Linked DNA regions of Coturnix japonica. The protein of the gene in region 2 binds, or shares a complex with, the protein of the main gene of each other region. Links are inferred from orthologs where the notes say so. Each region holds a gene or a part of one and is shown on either strand. Other genes may lie near its edges.

Evidence for each region. Proteins that work in one complex are often made in the same cells at the same time.
Region 1: the proteins of SERPINC1 (region 2) and F9 are in contact, whole or in part, in a crystal structure (PDB 3KCG), measured with the Homo sapiens proteins. The link is inferred for Coturnix japonica from reciprocal best matches to the Homo sapiens genes SERPINC1 and F9. Residues at the interface, in NP_000479.1 of Homo sapiens: Glu264, Asn265, Arg267, Glu269, Met283, Met284, Tyr285, Glu287, Met347, Val349, His351, Val420, Val421, Ile422, Ala423, Gly424, Arg425, Ser426, Leu427, Asn428, Pro429, Asn430, Arg431; in NP_000124.1 of Homo sapiens: Lys247, Val248, Asp249, Ala250, Phe251, Cys252, His267, Cys268, Glu270, Glu285, Tyr312, Arg358, Phe360, Lys362, Gly363, Arg364, Ser365, Leu367, Lys387, Phe388, Asp405, Ser406, Cys407, Gln408, Gly409, Asp410, Ile429, Ser430, Trp431, Gly432.

What each region holds. Positions count from the first base shown.
Region 1 is NC_029519.1:4,844,194-4,851,435, reverse strand, and holds the start of F9 (coagulation factor IX), read right to left. Parts: upstream 3,833-7,242; 5' UTR 3,773-3,832; coding exon 3,706-3,772; intron 1,634-3,705; coding exon 1,470-1,633; intron 1,161-1,469; coding exon 1,136-1,160; intron 300-1,135; exon of another isoform or gene 267-299; intron 1-266. UniProt on the Homo sapiens protein: Factor IX is a vitamin K-dependent plasma protein that participates in the intrinsic pathway of blood coagulation by converting factor X to its active form in the presence of Ca(2+) ions, phospholipids, and factor VIIIa.
Region 2 is NC_029523.1:4,510,537-4,517,535, reverse strand, and holds the start of SERPINC1 (antithrombin-III), read left to right. Parts: upstream 1-2,507; 5' UTR 2,508-2,644; intron 2,645-4,893; 5' UTR 4,894-4,897; coding exon 4,898-5,272; intron 5,273-6,151; coding exon 6,152-6,367; intron 6,368-6,662; coding exon 6,663-6,800; intron 6,801-6,889; coding exon 6,890-6,999. UniProt on the Homo sapiens protein: Most important serine protease inhibitor in plasma that regulates the blood coagulation cascade. AT-III inhibits thrombin, matriptase-3/TMPRSS7, as well as factors IXa, Xa and XIa. Its inhibitory activity is greatly enhanced in the presence of heparin.

The sequences.
Region 1 (7,242 bases), on a different chromosome or scaffold from region 2:
GATGGTGTTCATGACTTTTTTTGGGGGGGGGCTAATTGTGTCTAGTGGCAGGGAAATAAATGCAGTGTTGAATTTCATCAGTTGGTTTTTGTAGTGGAAATGCTAAGTCACAGCCTGAACCAGTGATTGAACACCTGGTGATTGAGCCAGCCCAGGGGAGCTCAGGTGCAAGCAATGTACCTAAGTGACTGGAAGGGGTGGAGCCAGGATCCACCCCTCCCCAGACTTCATCTAGGGGTTGGCAGTGGAGGTGAGGGAATAGTAGTTGGGGATCTCTGCATACCTGAGGCCTTCTGAAGGTAAGCAGCTTCTTTCCTTTATTTCTGTGCCTATGGCTGTTGTGTTTGAGCAAATCCTTGCTTGCTGCAGCCTGGGACCTTGCTGCTCTGTTGTCATTGCTGTGCTTTCCATTGCATTACAGTTTTTTAGGGGGCAGTCCTATAATGCAGGACTGCATAACTTCCAAACAATCTGAATTATTTATGGCTTCTTAGTGTGATGTTCTGGGTGCTTTGCCAGTCTACAAAGCAGTTCAGTTATCAAAATGTACTTTAAAATTTGATTCAGATGTTTTTAGTGGGCATTAAAATGTTTTTGGTAAAATTGGAGTTGAAAGGGAGGAAATAGATGCTGGAAAATAAAACAGATGGTGGAGAAGCAAAGCTTTGGGACCACTGGTGTTTGCTGTGATTGTGTTGAGGGTCTGTTTATTGTGGCATTTCCAGGGATTCACACTGAGCCTGCACTGAATCTGGTAGTCTCTGCTTGAGAACAGAACGTTAACTACTTGGAGGGGTGTTACCTCTTACTGTCTTGCTCTGCTGTTGAAACCAGAAGGTGACCTGGGCTCACTGGATGCAGCAGTCTGTGTGAACTGTTATCTTCAGTGACATCTGTGCTGTTTGTTCCAACCCTCTCCCCTACTTCTATATAGAAGAGGCTAAGTAGTTTTTTTCCTTGTGTTTCTTATAAAGGTGGGATGGGCATAGGCTGAGCGACCACAGCGTTTAGGGTACATGACTCTGTGATGAAACAATTCCTAAATTCTGAGCAATATTTCTTTCCATAAGCATCTGCTGCTTATGCGCTGAGAGATGAATATTGTGTGTGTGAATGTGAAGAAAGCAGCTCTTACCAATGTATATTTTCCAGAATTCCATCTGCAAAGGGAAAAACAAACAAACAAACCTCCATTGGTTTCTGTTTTCTGGGCTTAAAGGGGTGGCTCCAAAGCTAAGAGCTTGAAGGGAAGCACCTCAGTAGTCCCAGTGGTGAGCACCCAACCCCTAATGAGGTTCCCCAGCCTGATAGATGGATTGTGAATGAGAACCAAAGGGTTGATGGGTGCCACGCAACCTCCCCAACCCCCCTTGCTCTTCAGTCCACCCCACTCTGTGCTTCACCCCAGCACTGTATACAGGTGATGCCCAGAGGAAAGGTTTTGGCTGTTTTGCATCAGGGATACTCACTGTTTTTTCTGTGTTCTCAAACACTTCTCGGGCTTCTTCGAAGCTGCATTTTTCTTCTATGCATTCTCTCTCGAGGTTCCCAGCAATAAACTCTTCCAGTCTGTTTGAATTGCCTCGCCTTGTCCTGCTCAGAACTGTGCTCGCCTCTTTGTTCTCAATGAAGACTGCAATTAGAAAAGAAAGCCAGGCTGCTGAATAGCCGTGGGGTGGGCAGTAGGGCTCTGCAGTCTCAATAGTCCTTCTCATGAGTTCATCATCCCCCATTGTCAGTGATGTTTTAGAAGCATTATTGCCTACTTGAGGTTTCTCTGGTGTCTAATTTAACTGCAATCTAGTTACTAACCTAAGCTGGGGAACCTGGAGTCAAAGCAGTCCATAGGTGAAATTGGCTGATGGCAGGAGGGTGATTAGGAGCACGGGAGTTTAGCAGGTGGTGTTAATACCTCTTATGATAGATGCCCAAACTGGAATAAGCTATTCAAGGAAGGAAAACCAAAGGCTGCTGCGTATTAGAGACGTCTTGTTTGAACACAGAAATTGAGGCAAAGTGGTGTGAGCACTGCTGGCCCTACATCCAAAGGGGGCACCCATGTTGCCACCAGCCTTTCAATGGTGGCCACTTGGTGATGTGGTGCTACCACATGTGCTCTCCCAGCCAGCACTGACCTTGCTCCCCAGGTTGGAAGAAGCATTTCTGTCTGTCTGTGCCAGGTGCAATGCTAATTGTTTTTGCAATGATTTTAATCACTATAAAGCAAGCTTGCACCTCTGCCTTCCTCATGCTTTCCATTAAAAAGAAGGGGAGTGCATTAAAATCCCGATGATAATCTAATTGTTTGGCAGTAGATATTGATGGTTGAAGAACTCTGGCTTGGTTTAAACACTGCAGTTCCCATGGGCTGCCTGATCCCTTCCCATCTGCAAGACTGGGGTTTATATATGGAATATGCAAGTCACTGGAGGAGTCCCTCTTCCCTCCAGCATGTGTCACAACATCTGGCATGAACTCAAGCTGGGCTGAAAAGCTTGAACTGAAGGAGATGAAGCAGCCTTTGTTGGTTTTGAGCCCTGTTGGGTTCTCCTTGAGGTTAGTGCCTGGGGAACCAGGCATGGGCACAGTTACGTGCCTCTGATTGTGGTTGCATTTCGTTAGGTCTGCTCCTTCATTTCTTAATGCTGGAAGCATGCTAGGCAATGGGCATAATTAACCCTTTTAATGAAGAGCTCTAATTTTAATGAAAACAAACTTCACCTTCATCAGACTCATTTCAGCTTTCTTGATGTCTACTAATCTCACGTGCTGCTTTATAGGCAGGACTTGATTTAAACTGAAAGTGGCAGAAACCCAAGGGGTCACACACAAGGTGCTTGCCCTGGCTGGAAATGATCTTCCCACCAAGTATATGCTCGTGTGGCTTAGCAACTTCTACATCAGCACTTGCAAGAGTGAGGGGATCTTTGGGCTGCAGATGAGACCCATCCTGCCACCTGAGTATTAAATGTTCTAGGAAATACACCTGGGTTGATGGTGACTCTGTTCACTTTCCATTGATAAGCAAACACTTTAGAAAAGCACTTTTTTCCTTGTTTTACCTGTTACTCTCAATGTTTTAATAAAAGAAGAAAGGCCTTGCACCAGCCAAGTTCTCACTGGAAGTGAACCAGCCTCTGCTGGAACTGTTGCTGCTACAGATCAATCATGCAGCAGCCAGCATTACTACGTGTGATTACCCACATCCATCAACTACTCTATCGTGTCTACAGTTTTGGCTGCATCTTACAGTCTGTTAAATGCATGCTGGGTTTGGCTTTAAACATTTCCCACTGTGGCAAGCCCAGTGACTGTTCTATGGGAGTGAGTGCTGTATTCCAGGAAAAAGCGAGACTGTGGATGTCACTCCTCCAGTGACATGTTTCCTCTTTTTCCTTTTGTGTGTGGGTGCGTGTGCTCTAAATGGCTGAATCGAGCACTGAAAGCTGTACAACTTCAAGAGAAATCCCATCCTTAAAATTAATCCCTGTGAAACTTTCTGTGTAAAAAATCAGCATAAAAGCAGAAGAAAGAGCCGGAGCTTCAAATAGAGGAGCTCTGAAATGCTGCGGTCCCACTGACCCCTTGTATCTCACGAGATAGCACAGGTTGTCCCACTGTGAACTGACAAATGGACCCTCTCTGTGTGCCAGTAACCCCCACCCCCATGAGCGAAGGACTTCATAGGTTTTAAAATGAACCCACCTGTACTTTCGGCACCGAGAAAAGCTTCCAGGAGACAAAAGGAGAGTATGAGGGGGATTTTTGCCATCTTCTTCCTACTGCCCAAACCTAGGAACAAATTGTTCAGGTGGTGGAGCTCGGTCAATAGTTCCAAAGTGCAAGCTCCTGTTTATTTGCTCTGGGTAACCCTTTAATTTAAGGTCCCCAGATGTGCCATTGCTGAGCCTTGGAGTGGCAGCAAGGATGTTATTTGAGAGGGCACATCCATGCTGAAGAAATGTATTGGGTAGCTGCTGCCTTTGGGGTCATCTGATGTCCTATAGGATGTTGCTGCTAGGTTTGCAGGTTGAGCAAGGCGCAAGAATACATTTAAGCCAGCTTCAGTAACCTCTTAAAAGCACTGGATTGCCCATTCCTATCCAGATGATTGCTGCATAAAATCCATAGCAGTGCTTTCAAAGCCTTCAGCAGAGCCCATGTTTCCAAGAGGGCCCAGCATAGATTCAGTTGGAGATGACCCTACAAGTGGTGCAGAGAGAGTGAGCAGACTTCTGGCTGCGGGTTTGCTAATTGCTCCTGTTTCAGACTGACCAAAAATAAGGTTTCTATACAAAATCTTTAATGCTTAAGGGTGTGTTACTTATAACTCTTAAATAATGTTTCTTCCCTTCTGACTTTCCATTAATGTGAAGGTGAGGGATTTCTTTGGGGCAAATACTGGGTACTGTGTAATAAATAAAAAATGAAGCATTAATTTCTAGAAAGGCTGAAATGAATGCACTCAAAGCTCTCCCCTCCTCTCTTTCCTTGAGGAGTTGTAGGGAAAGCAAACTGACATCATTCACCCCACTCTAGAGAGGGCTTGTGGGCTTTATACCAGTGACCTGCTTCTCTGATTGCAGCTTGTCCTATGCATAGTGCAGAGCTGGTGTCCAGCATCGCACCCGCACGTGATGGAGGCCAGCAGGCTCTAGAGACTTGTTAAAGCACAAGGGCTGAAGAGGAGCAGGCAGCAGCTCTCACTAGTTCCCAGTAAAGCAAGATTAATATTGTGCAGTTGTCAAAGCAAGATGGGTATTGTGCTGTTGTTGATGCAAGAGAATCCTATGGTGTGTTTTGCAGTGCAGACAGGCTGGCTGCTTTGATGGGAAGCAATGTGCTGTGCCGGATGTGCTGTGTCTTGCAGGCTGGAGAGCTCTCTGTTGCTCTGAGGCTACAGCAACCCTCGGGTAGTTGTTGCAGTGTGTGCTCAAGCTTGTGAAACATCAATTCTGTGCAGTCAAAAAATGTAGAAACGTTCCTTTGTGCAGCAAGTGTAAGGGACATTTATGGTTGCAAGGAGTTACTTTTGTATGCAGAAAGGAGCATCAGCTGTAGGTAAATAGAAGATGCTGATTTTGAGTTACAGCTCTGTGAGGTCTGTGCTGCCTAGGTAGAAAAAAATTCCTATGTTTTTCTTTCCTTGAGGAAACAAAAGGTCCCCAAACCAATAATTCATCTTGTTTCCTCTTGCTCCACTTGAAATGATCTTTATTCATCACTGACTGTAGCTTTTGTTATCAAATTTCTGTGGTGGATAAATGAGTTTGGATGAGGTAATGTGCTACTGATGTAAATTGAATGCAAAGTGAAGAAGGTAACGATCATCTCTCGCTTTCTGTGCATAAGAAAATGCAAATGGGAGAAAATAAATAGAGCTAAAATGCTGAAACAATACATCTCCTATCAATAAAGACGAGTGTAGAGCATGGCCTGCCATAACAAAGGATAATTGAAATCTCATTACTGCAAATATTTTGCTTCAGAACATAGGTCAGTCACATAACTTTTGGTTTATTGTGCATATTTCACGTGTAATACCATTCGCAACATTATGGCTAATTAATCTCCACAGAAAACACCAACATCATTAGAATAAACAAGGCTATTAACGCAAATAATTTCTATTGTTTGCTACTATTCCTGTCAACTTCTGCGGCGCCGAATTGAAAGCTAAGTGTTTATTTTTACTTATTTTGAAACCAAAATCCCTGGAGTTGCGATCGCCACCATGAGCGCTTTGGAGATGAAAGCTTTGTTGTCTAGGTGGATGACATCAATTAAGTACCTGATCTGGGTTTGTTTTGATTTGGTGTTCTGCGCTCTCAAGTGAAAAGCATTAAAAAAATGCACGGTCAAGCTGTGCTTCTTCCTATGAAGAGGCTTTCTATGAGATGTCCCTTCTGATTTGAGGCGTTAGATTTGGGGCTGTTTTTGTTTAAGATGGTGTTGCAGCAGGGGGAAGTTTGGGTTGGATGTTAGGAAAAACTTCTCGGAAAGAGGAGGGAGGCACTGACATAGGCTGCCCGACCCTTGGGGTGCTCTGCAGCTGTGGAGATGTGGCACTGAGGGATGTGCTTATGGACATGGTGGTTTGGGTTGGGGTTGGATTTGGGGGTCACTCCTTTCCAACCTTAACGTTTCTAAGATTCTACTCCCTAGGCTGTGAGGAGTCTGGGGTATTGGTACATTGCTACCTGTTTCTCCTCCTTTTGGGTCTCATTGGCTCGTTAGTTGTAAATCTTATTTTCTATGTCTGTGGTTGGAGTGAAAAATGCAGATTCCTTCTTGGAAGGAAACGTGAACTTCCTGACTTGAAGAACTGCCAACAAAAAATCGGTAGTGTGTATTTTGGGGCTGGTGTGTTGGGCTGGAGGATGCAGCAGAACAGGGAATGGCAGCAGGTAGCTTGTGCTAGAAACATCACCTTCCCAGCAGGGCCATTACCTCGGGCCTGGGAACTGTTGGTCTTTCAGAGAAGCTTTCTTCTGCAAAGAGAAATGAAGTTTATGAGCAGTCAGAACAAGAGAGGTATTTCCATTTTCATCTGATTTTTTTTCTTTTTTTTTTCTTTTTTCTTAATGTTCTCTGGCTGCACTGATCAATAATGTTAAATAGGCTGATGGCTTGAGGATCTTGTTAAAGGACTGTTCATAATCTCCCTTGTCTCCAAATGCACTATTTTATGTGAAAAATCCTTCTCAAAACCTTAAGCAAATTTCAATTTGCCTTTGCCCTCTAGGCAGCTGTGGCAAGTAATCTTTCCTTAACCAACAGCAAACAAGCTGTTTCTGAAATAACAGTGAAAGTAATGCTAGGTCTTCATTTTCTCCCCCTCTTTATTTGGTTAGTGTGAAGCCTCAGGGCTTTCTCTGTGGGGAAATTACCCAAATGTGGAGGCAGCACAGCCGTCATACCCTTCGCAGAGCTGATCAGGTCATCACAATGATTAACTTACTGGAGAAAGTAGCAGTGATGGCAGTGTGCAGTTGGTTTGTGCAGGTGCAGGGCTGGCTCTCAGCTCTGAAAGCTTCTCCCCTACTTTCCCATCCATCTAAAGCTTTTGGTTCCCACATTGGACACTCTTATTTTGCCTTCACGTAGAGGTTCCAATGTCTGTGCCAAGGAGCAGACTCCCCTTGCTGAATTCCCTCTGGACACATCTGTCGCAGTTAGCATTTAGGCTCTGTCCCTCTCATTTTATTCAGTTTTAATTAGACTCCTGCACAGGAGCGCAGA
Region 2 (6,999 bases):
ATAAGTGAAATTCCTTGTCTGCTGTTCTCATAAGTCGATGCTAAACAAAGCGTCATTATTCCCATTTGTCAAGCTGGTTCTTTTCTTGCTTTTCTTCTCCCCCTGTTTTTCTTCCTTTCCTGCTTTGCTTCCCCATCGAAGAAATAATAGTTCTGAAGCCTTATGTGGCTGGCTGGCTGTTGGAGTGGTTTTGTGACTATGTGTTGTGTGTAACTGTCGGAACGCTTTCAATAGGAGTAGAGATGGAGTAGAGCATATGAGAAGAATTCCATAAAGTGAATTCTTTGCAAGTTCAGGGGAAGCTGGAAGCCTTGTACACACACTGGGCCTGCAAGGCACCGTGATACCTCTCCTTGAAACATTAGATGCTTTGCTGCCTTTTGGGAAAACCCAGATGACTAAAGGAGTAGAAGAGGTCACTGTGTCTGTCTTTACTCCTGCAATAGACTTGTTATAGTGGGAAGAACAGCCCGCCAGGCATTATGCTGTAGTAGGACAGAGCAGGCTGAAGGAGGCAAAAGGCAAGGAAGGTCCAGAGGTCTGAAAGTCAGTATTTGTTTCTTCCTTAAATTACAGAGCCAACAGTGTCACTTGTATTAAAGAGCAAGGAAGCGGAGACCTATTGTGTGTGCATGATGGTGACATAAAAAAAGCCATATGTTGAAATGCTGTTTCCTTTCCTCTTCTTCACTTTGCTTTTCTCCCTGTTCAAGCTGGCTTGGCCTCACCTTGCTTCCACACAGTGTCTGAGAGTCCTTTGAGTTGCAGATCCAACAAACTCTTGAACCGGTGGAAAGATGGTGATTCACTACTTGGTCTGTAAATAGATGGAAGTGTCTACAAGGTCTTATCTGCTTTTCTGTCAGCATTTATATTAAATGATAAAGTAATGGAGAACACTGAAATATCTCTCATTTTCTGTCTCGGATGAATGTGCATTTCTTTGAACTCTGGGTGCAATGTTCTGATGGTGTGTGGGTTCTCCTTGGGGCTGGGGCATGGGAGATGCTGAGCAGCAGAGAAGTGGCTGCTTCTATGGGCTGTCTGTTCTCTGCCTGCCTGCAAGCTAGGCTGCTCCTTCCAACAAGAAAGGATGCTCAAAATAATGCATTTTGCTAATTGACTGGAGGTCCAGCATGCGGTGAGCACCAAATGCTGTCCCCTCTGCCTTTAGGGCAGTCACACAGCTGGCCTCTCTCACTGGGTCACTTGAGATATTCAGTTCCTATAAAGAGAGTTGTATTTGGTGAGCAATCGTGTGGAAACTGGGTGTTTCTGCAGGCAATGGTTTCCATTCCCATTTTCTGCACTGGTGTGAGGGCTCCAGGATGCTCAGCTACACTTAAAACCAACTTGAACTTCTGTCAAGGTTGGCTGCTAAAAGAGATGTGAATTGCTGCAGTCTGGCTGAAGGAGCCGAATGGGGAGTTTGGGGAAACCTGCCATTTTTTTTCCTCTGGCCTCCTCAGGGATGGCTCTGCCCAGCCATCAGCTCTGGGTTGTTGGTTTGATCTGGACCAGCAATAAATTGCCACTTACCTACTGCACTTAAGATAGGTATTTATCAGCTCTCCCATGGGGTTTGGTTTGGGCAGCTGATGGGTCCCTTTGGCGCTACGCTGGGTTTGGGAATAAATACTTAGAGGAAGTCCCCAGCTTGCCATCTTCTTTCATTTTGCAATTAGCCTTGCCTTTAATAGGGCTATCATGGTAAAGGAGGTGTTCCCATGCTCTGTTCTAGGCATTCTGCCTGCTTGCAGTGAGCTGCAGTGCTGCTGTGCCTCATCACACTGCTGAGACTTAATTCCCACAGCTTGAGCTGTGTGGGATGTGCAGAACACAGTGGGTGCCTGCTCCCATTCCATGTGGCATCGAGCTGCCCCGCAGCACCAGATGAAGAGCCCCTGCTTGGATACAGCACACTTGGCTGGGAGCAGAGAGCATCTGATTCCTTCTGAAGGTCCCAGGGCTGTGAGCACGTCTCACCTCGGCGATTACACCAGCACTGCTGGGAGCACAGTGAGCAGCGCAGCTGAGCCCTTCCTTGCAGCACACAGCTCACCTCCTATGCCCTCCTGCAGTTCTTGGCTGCTTTGCATTGCTGGGTGCTGCTCGGAGGTCACAGTGTGACTTCTGTGCTCACTTTGTCCAAAGACAGCCCTGCTGTAGGATGGGTGAGAGCAAGAACAACATGTGCAAGACTGATGTGTTGGGCACAGCCAGTTTTCAGGTGGTACTTATGGCCGTGGGCTGTAACCCAGCCCTGCTTTGCAGGCCCTCCTCTGCAGCCAAGGACCACAAGTGCTGCTCCTGAGCTTTTTCATGAGTGGCTAATTATTTTATTGGCAAAGAAGGAAGGCACCCAGCGTTTCTAAGGGGTAGGTGGTCAAACTTTCCCTTGTCAGATTGAACTTTAAAACCTCTTTCAAGCCAAACATTGCTTTTTTGTTTTCCTGCTCTTTGTTTAACCTTCTGCAGCGGTCATCAGCCTTTGGCCCCAGCATCCTGCCCCCAACCTGCCTGCTGCTGGAGCACGGGAGCCCAGTGTGGAGCTGCTCTGTGTGTGTGGGTCTTGAGCACTCCTGTCCTCCTGGGGAATCTGCATTTGCATCCAGAACACAGGAGGCTGGAGGCACCAGGCTGGGTAAGAGAAACTATTTCCACTAATGCTTCATTTTTAACTGAACCCACTGCTCCATTTGCCTGTTGAAGGAATTCAGGCTGCTACCAGACTGCAGCTCCTCTTGATCTGGGGCTTCTGCTCACAGCATGGGGAGCTTAAAACATCACAGTTCCCATCAGGGAGCAATTTGTGCCCAGCTCACTGATGGGCTGTGCTTCACCTCATTTCTTTGTGGCATTGCTTCATGCTGTGGTGAGCACCAACCCCCCTGTCCCATGTAGGAACAGCACTGGTCTGGGGGGGGGGGAGCAGGAAGGGTTTTCTGTCCATCCTAATCACATTGAGCTGCTGGGCCCAGAGGAGTGCAGCAGAGATGCACAGATAGCAGGGGTGAATGCAGCCTTTGTTGCAGGACGAACGCAAAGCAGTGGGGGCACACGGGCTGTGCTGGCCACAGCCTGGCTGTGGGATTAGGAGTCCCCACATTTGCATGGAGCCCTCTGGTTTTTAGCTGAATCAGCAACTTGTTCCTTAGTTTTCTGTGCTTCTCACAGGGGTGACTGAAGCAGGACAGCCAAGCCCTTCCCCCTTAGTGTTCTCTTCCCTGCCAGTAACCCTTCCCAGGCAGCCATTTGCTGTAATGCTTTTGGGCTCCCTCCAGCTGATGTGTGGTGTGGACAGTATGAAAGGGAGGCCCCAGGAGCTGCTGGGGGAGCAGGGCAGCTCCCAGCCAGCGGTATGGCATGCAGCCCTGTGGGTCTTGTGTTCCCCTTCTGCTGTGTGCTTGTGCTGGGTATGCTGGGGGGCTGGGTTGGCCCCAGGGAGCTGATATATCAGATTGAAGGGGCTAAGAGCATAAAATCCCACATCCCCTCTAAACGGATGAAATCTGAAGCTGGGACGGGCTGTGGGATGCTCAGCAACCAACCGCAGGGCGTGCAGTGCAGCAGGATGGGGCTGAGAGCCCGGTGACCCTCCTGCAGGAGCTGGTATTGGGAAGAGTGGTGCTTCCTGCAGTGCTCCCACTTCCCTTCCTCCTGCCTGCTGTGGTGCTTTCAGGGTCAGTCTGTTTGACTTCCCACCCCTTTCAGGCTTTGCCTTCTGTGGTGCTGCAGCTGTTCCATGCATCTGTCCTTCACCTTCTTGCAACAGTGTGTTTGCTTTTACCACTCAGACTGGCTGTGTTCTGAGCAAAAACATCTTGTTGTACACGTCCTCTTGCAGTGCTTGCTGCTGCACTAACAGTTTGTGCTGGTGAAGGCCCCCAGGCTCAGTACAGCCCTGGTGCCAAATGAGGTAATTTCTGCTTTCATGGAAGAGCTGCAGCCCAGATGAAGACACAGACTGGTCTGGGTTGGAAGGGACCTCAAAGATCATCCAGCCATTGCATAAGAGTACAGGCAGGGGGTTGTGAAAGAGCCCAGAGCTCCCCACATTGCTCTGTGCTGCCCTGCTGGATGCTGGCAGCTCTGGCGGTCATTAAAAGAAACCTTCCATTTCCGCACTGATGGGGCAGCACAAGGTGACAGCAGCGGTGGGCACATGGAGTCTCACACCCTCCCTGCCCCCAGAGGAGCCATGGGGACATGAGCAAACCCACTGGGAGTCACACAGAGGGCATCTCTGTGCTGCAGTGCTGATCAGCCCTAGGGTGGCCAGTAATGTGCTGCTGGGGCTGGTGGGGATCTACATCCCCTGTTTGAGCTTCCTGCATCAGCAGTTAGAACAGGGCAAGGCTGAGGTGGGCCTGAAATCACAGCTGGAAACTGAAATGGCAGAAGAGCTCAAGGGAAGGAAGGAAACAGAACTGGAGAAGGAGGTTCCCCCAGGAAAAGGGGAAGGAAACCATCTAAAGCACTGTCTGAGGGCTCTCCGCTGCAGGGCTTGGGGCATGGAGTGCTTTCCCAGGAGAGAGAGCAGGGCAGGGTCTGTACAAAGCAAAAACGTGACTGCAGAGCAGAGCGGACTTTGGCAGCTTCCCCATAGAGTGATCAGAGCTTTGATCTATGTGTTTTTGCACCAGTTTGTCAGGGCTGCTTAAAGAAAGGACACCCGTGGCTCTGGGAAAGCACTGTTTTCATTGTGCTGTTTCTAAAAGCAGGGTGTGCTCAGAGCTGTGCTGCTCTGCTGGGGCTGTCCCGGTCCATCCCACAGCTGCACTACAGGAGGGTGATGGGAGAGGGCTGTGATGGTCCCTATACCCCAGTGCTGGCTGGGCTGGGGGCTCTCCGGGCAGGTGGGCGCACACTCAGCACTCCCTCTGTTTCCAGGACAATGCAGCTCTTCCTTGTGTGTCTCTTTGCCCTCTGGGGCATGGCTGCCCCTGTACGCTATGCTGTGGAAGACATTTGCACTGCGAAGCCCCGTGATATCCCAGTGAACCCCATCTGCATCTACCGCAACCCTGAGAAGAAGGCCCAGGAAAGTGAGGTGCTGGAGCCGGGGAAGGGCCGGATCCCGGGGTCCACCAACCCCCGTGTCTGGGAGCTGTCCAGGGCCAACTCGCGCTTTGCCGTCGTCTTCTACAAGCACCTGGCCGATTCCAAGGACAACGAGGAGAACATCTTCCTGTCACCCCTCAGCATTTCCACAGCCTTCGCCATGACCAAGCTCGGGGCGTGCGGTGACACCCTGCAGCAGCTCATGGAGGTTAGTGGCATATCCTCAGCCTTCCCCAGAGCTGCTACTGGGGCCTGAAAGGCTGCGGAGCTGGCAGTGCCAGCGGCTGCTGGGGGCTGCCTGGTCAGGGCAGCAGGCACAGGAGGGGATGCTTTTATTTAAACAGCCCCAGGGTGGGGCATGGGAGGCTGTTTCAGCTCATTCAGCAAGGGGCCAGCAATACCTTGAGGCACACCTTCCCCTGTGGGCAGCCCCTACTGTGGGATGGGAACACTTCTCTCCATGAGCTGTGCTCCTAATGCTCTCTTTTTCCCTGCATGAGGGCTCTTAACACCCCTTTTTGCCCCTCATAGGAAGTGGTGCCACAGATCATGAGCAATTTGCTATGGGATTTTTCTGTGCCTGAAGCCCTGAGATGGATAGGAGCTGACAAATTGGAGCTGTCCTTCCAGCTGACAGCCAGGAACAGATTAGAAATAAATCACTGTGCTGCTGAAATCCACCCTCAAAGCAATTGCCACATACTCCAAAATAGATAATGAGTACCAGAATTACTCAACAGACCATGAGAATTACTCCTGGGAAGGAGCAGCCTTTGGCATTCTCACAGGATTAGAGCAAACCCCTACAGGTCCTGCCATAGCCTGCGCTGACCCAAGAGCTGCATCTGGTCCCATCAATGCCATGCCCACTTGGTGCAGGGCTCTCGCTGGGGAAAGGCCAGGGTGATGTTAATTGGAGTCAGGAGTTGATCCCAATGGTCCTTATGTGTTCCTTCCAATCTGGGATATTCTGTGATTCTAAGGCTGTGCTTCAGGGGGTGAGTGGAGGGCAAGGCCTGCATCACCACTTGCTGTGGGAGCACAGGAGCTTGCTGATGGATTCCTTCTTGCTGTTTGGCCCCTCCAGGTGTTCCAGTTTGACACTATCTCAGAGAAGACATCTGACCAGGTCCACTTCTTCTTTGCCAAGCTCAACTGCCGTCTTTACAAGAAAGCCAACAAGTCATCAGAGCTAATATCAGCAAACCGTCTCTTTGGAGAGAAATCCTTGGTCTTCAATGAGACTTACCAGAACATTAGTGAAATAGTTTATGGAGCCAAACTCTGGCCGTTGAACTTCAAAGTGAGTTTGAACTGCTTTGAGATTCCTGGTTTGTTTGTTCCTAACTCCCTGTCCTGCTTCTGCTGTACCCCCATCCTCTGCTGCAGGGAATGCCATGCTCAGCACAGGGAATGCTGGTGAAGACAGACATAAGCACGGGACACAGCTCCTGCCCCAGCTCCATAACCACAGTCACTTCCCGGCTTCTCCTTTCTAAACACTGCAGCACTGTGCAGTGTCCTCCCTGGGGAGGTGGGCACTAAACAAAGAGGTGTTTATGACCCTTGACTTCAGCTATTTTGGTCTCATCCTTCAGGAGAAGCCAGAGCTTTCCAGGCAGATCATAAATGAGTGGGTAGCCAATAAGACGGAGAGGCGCATTACAGAAGTGATCCCAGAAAGAGGTATCGATGATCTCACCGTCTTGGTCCTGGTCAACACCATTTATTTTAAGGTATGGCTAACAAAGCTGGAGAGCAGCCAGTTTTCCAGGGGCAGCGATGTTGCTCATGTTTGCTTTTGCCCTCACCATCTCCCCATCAGGGACACTGGAAGTCGCAGTTTCCAGCTCTAAATACAAGACTGGATTTATTTCACAAAGCCAACGGTGAGACCTGCAAAGTCCCCATCATGTACCAGGAGGCCAGGTTCCG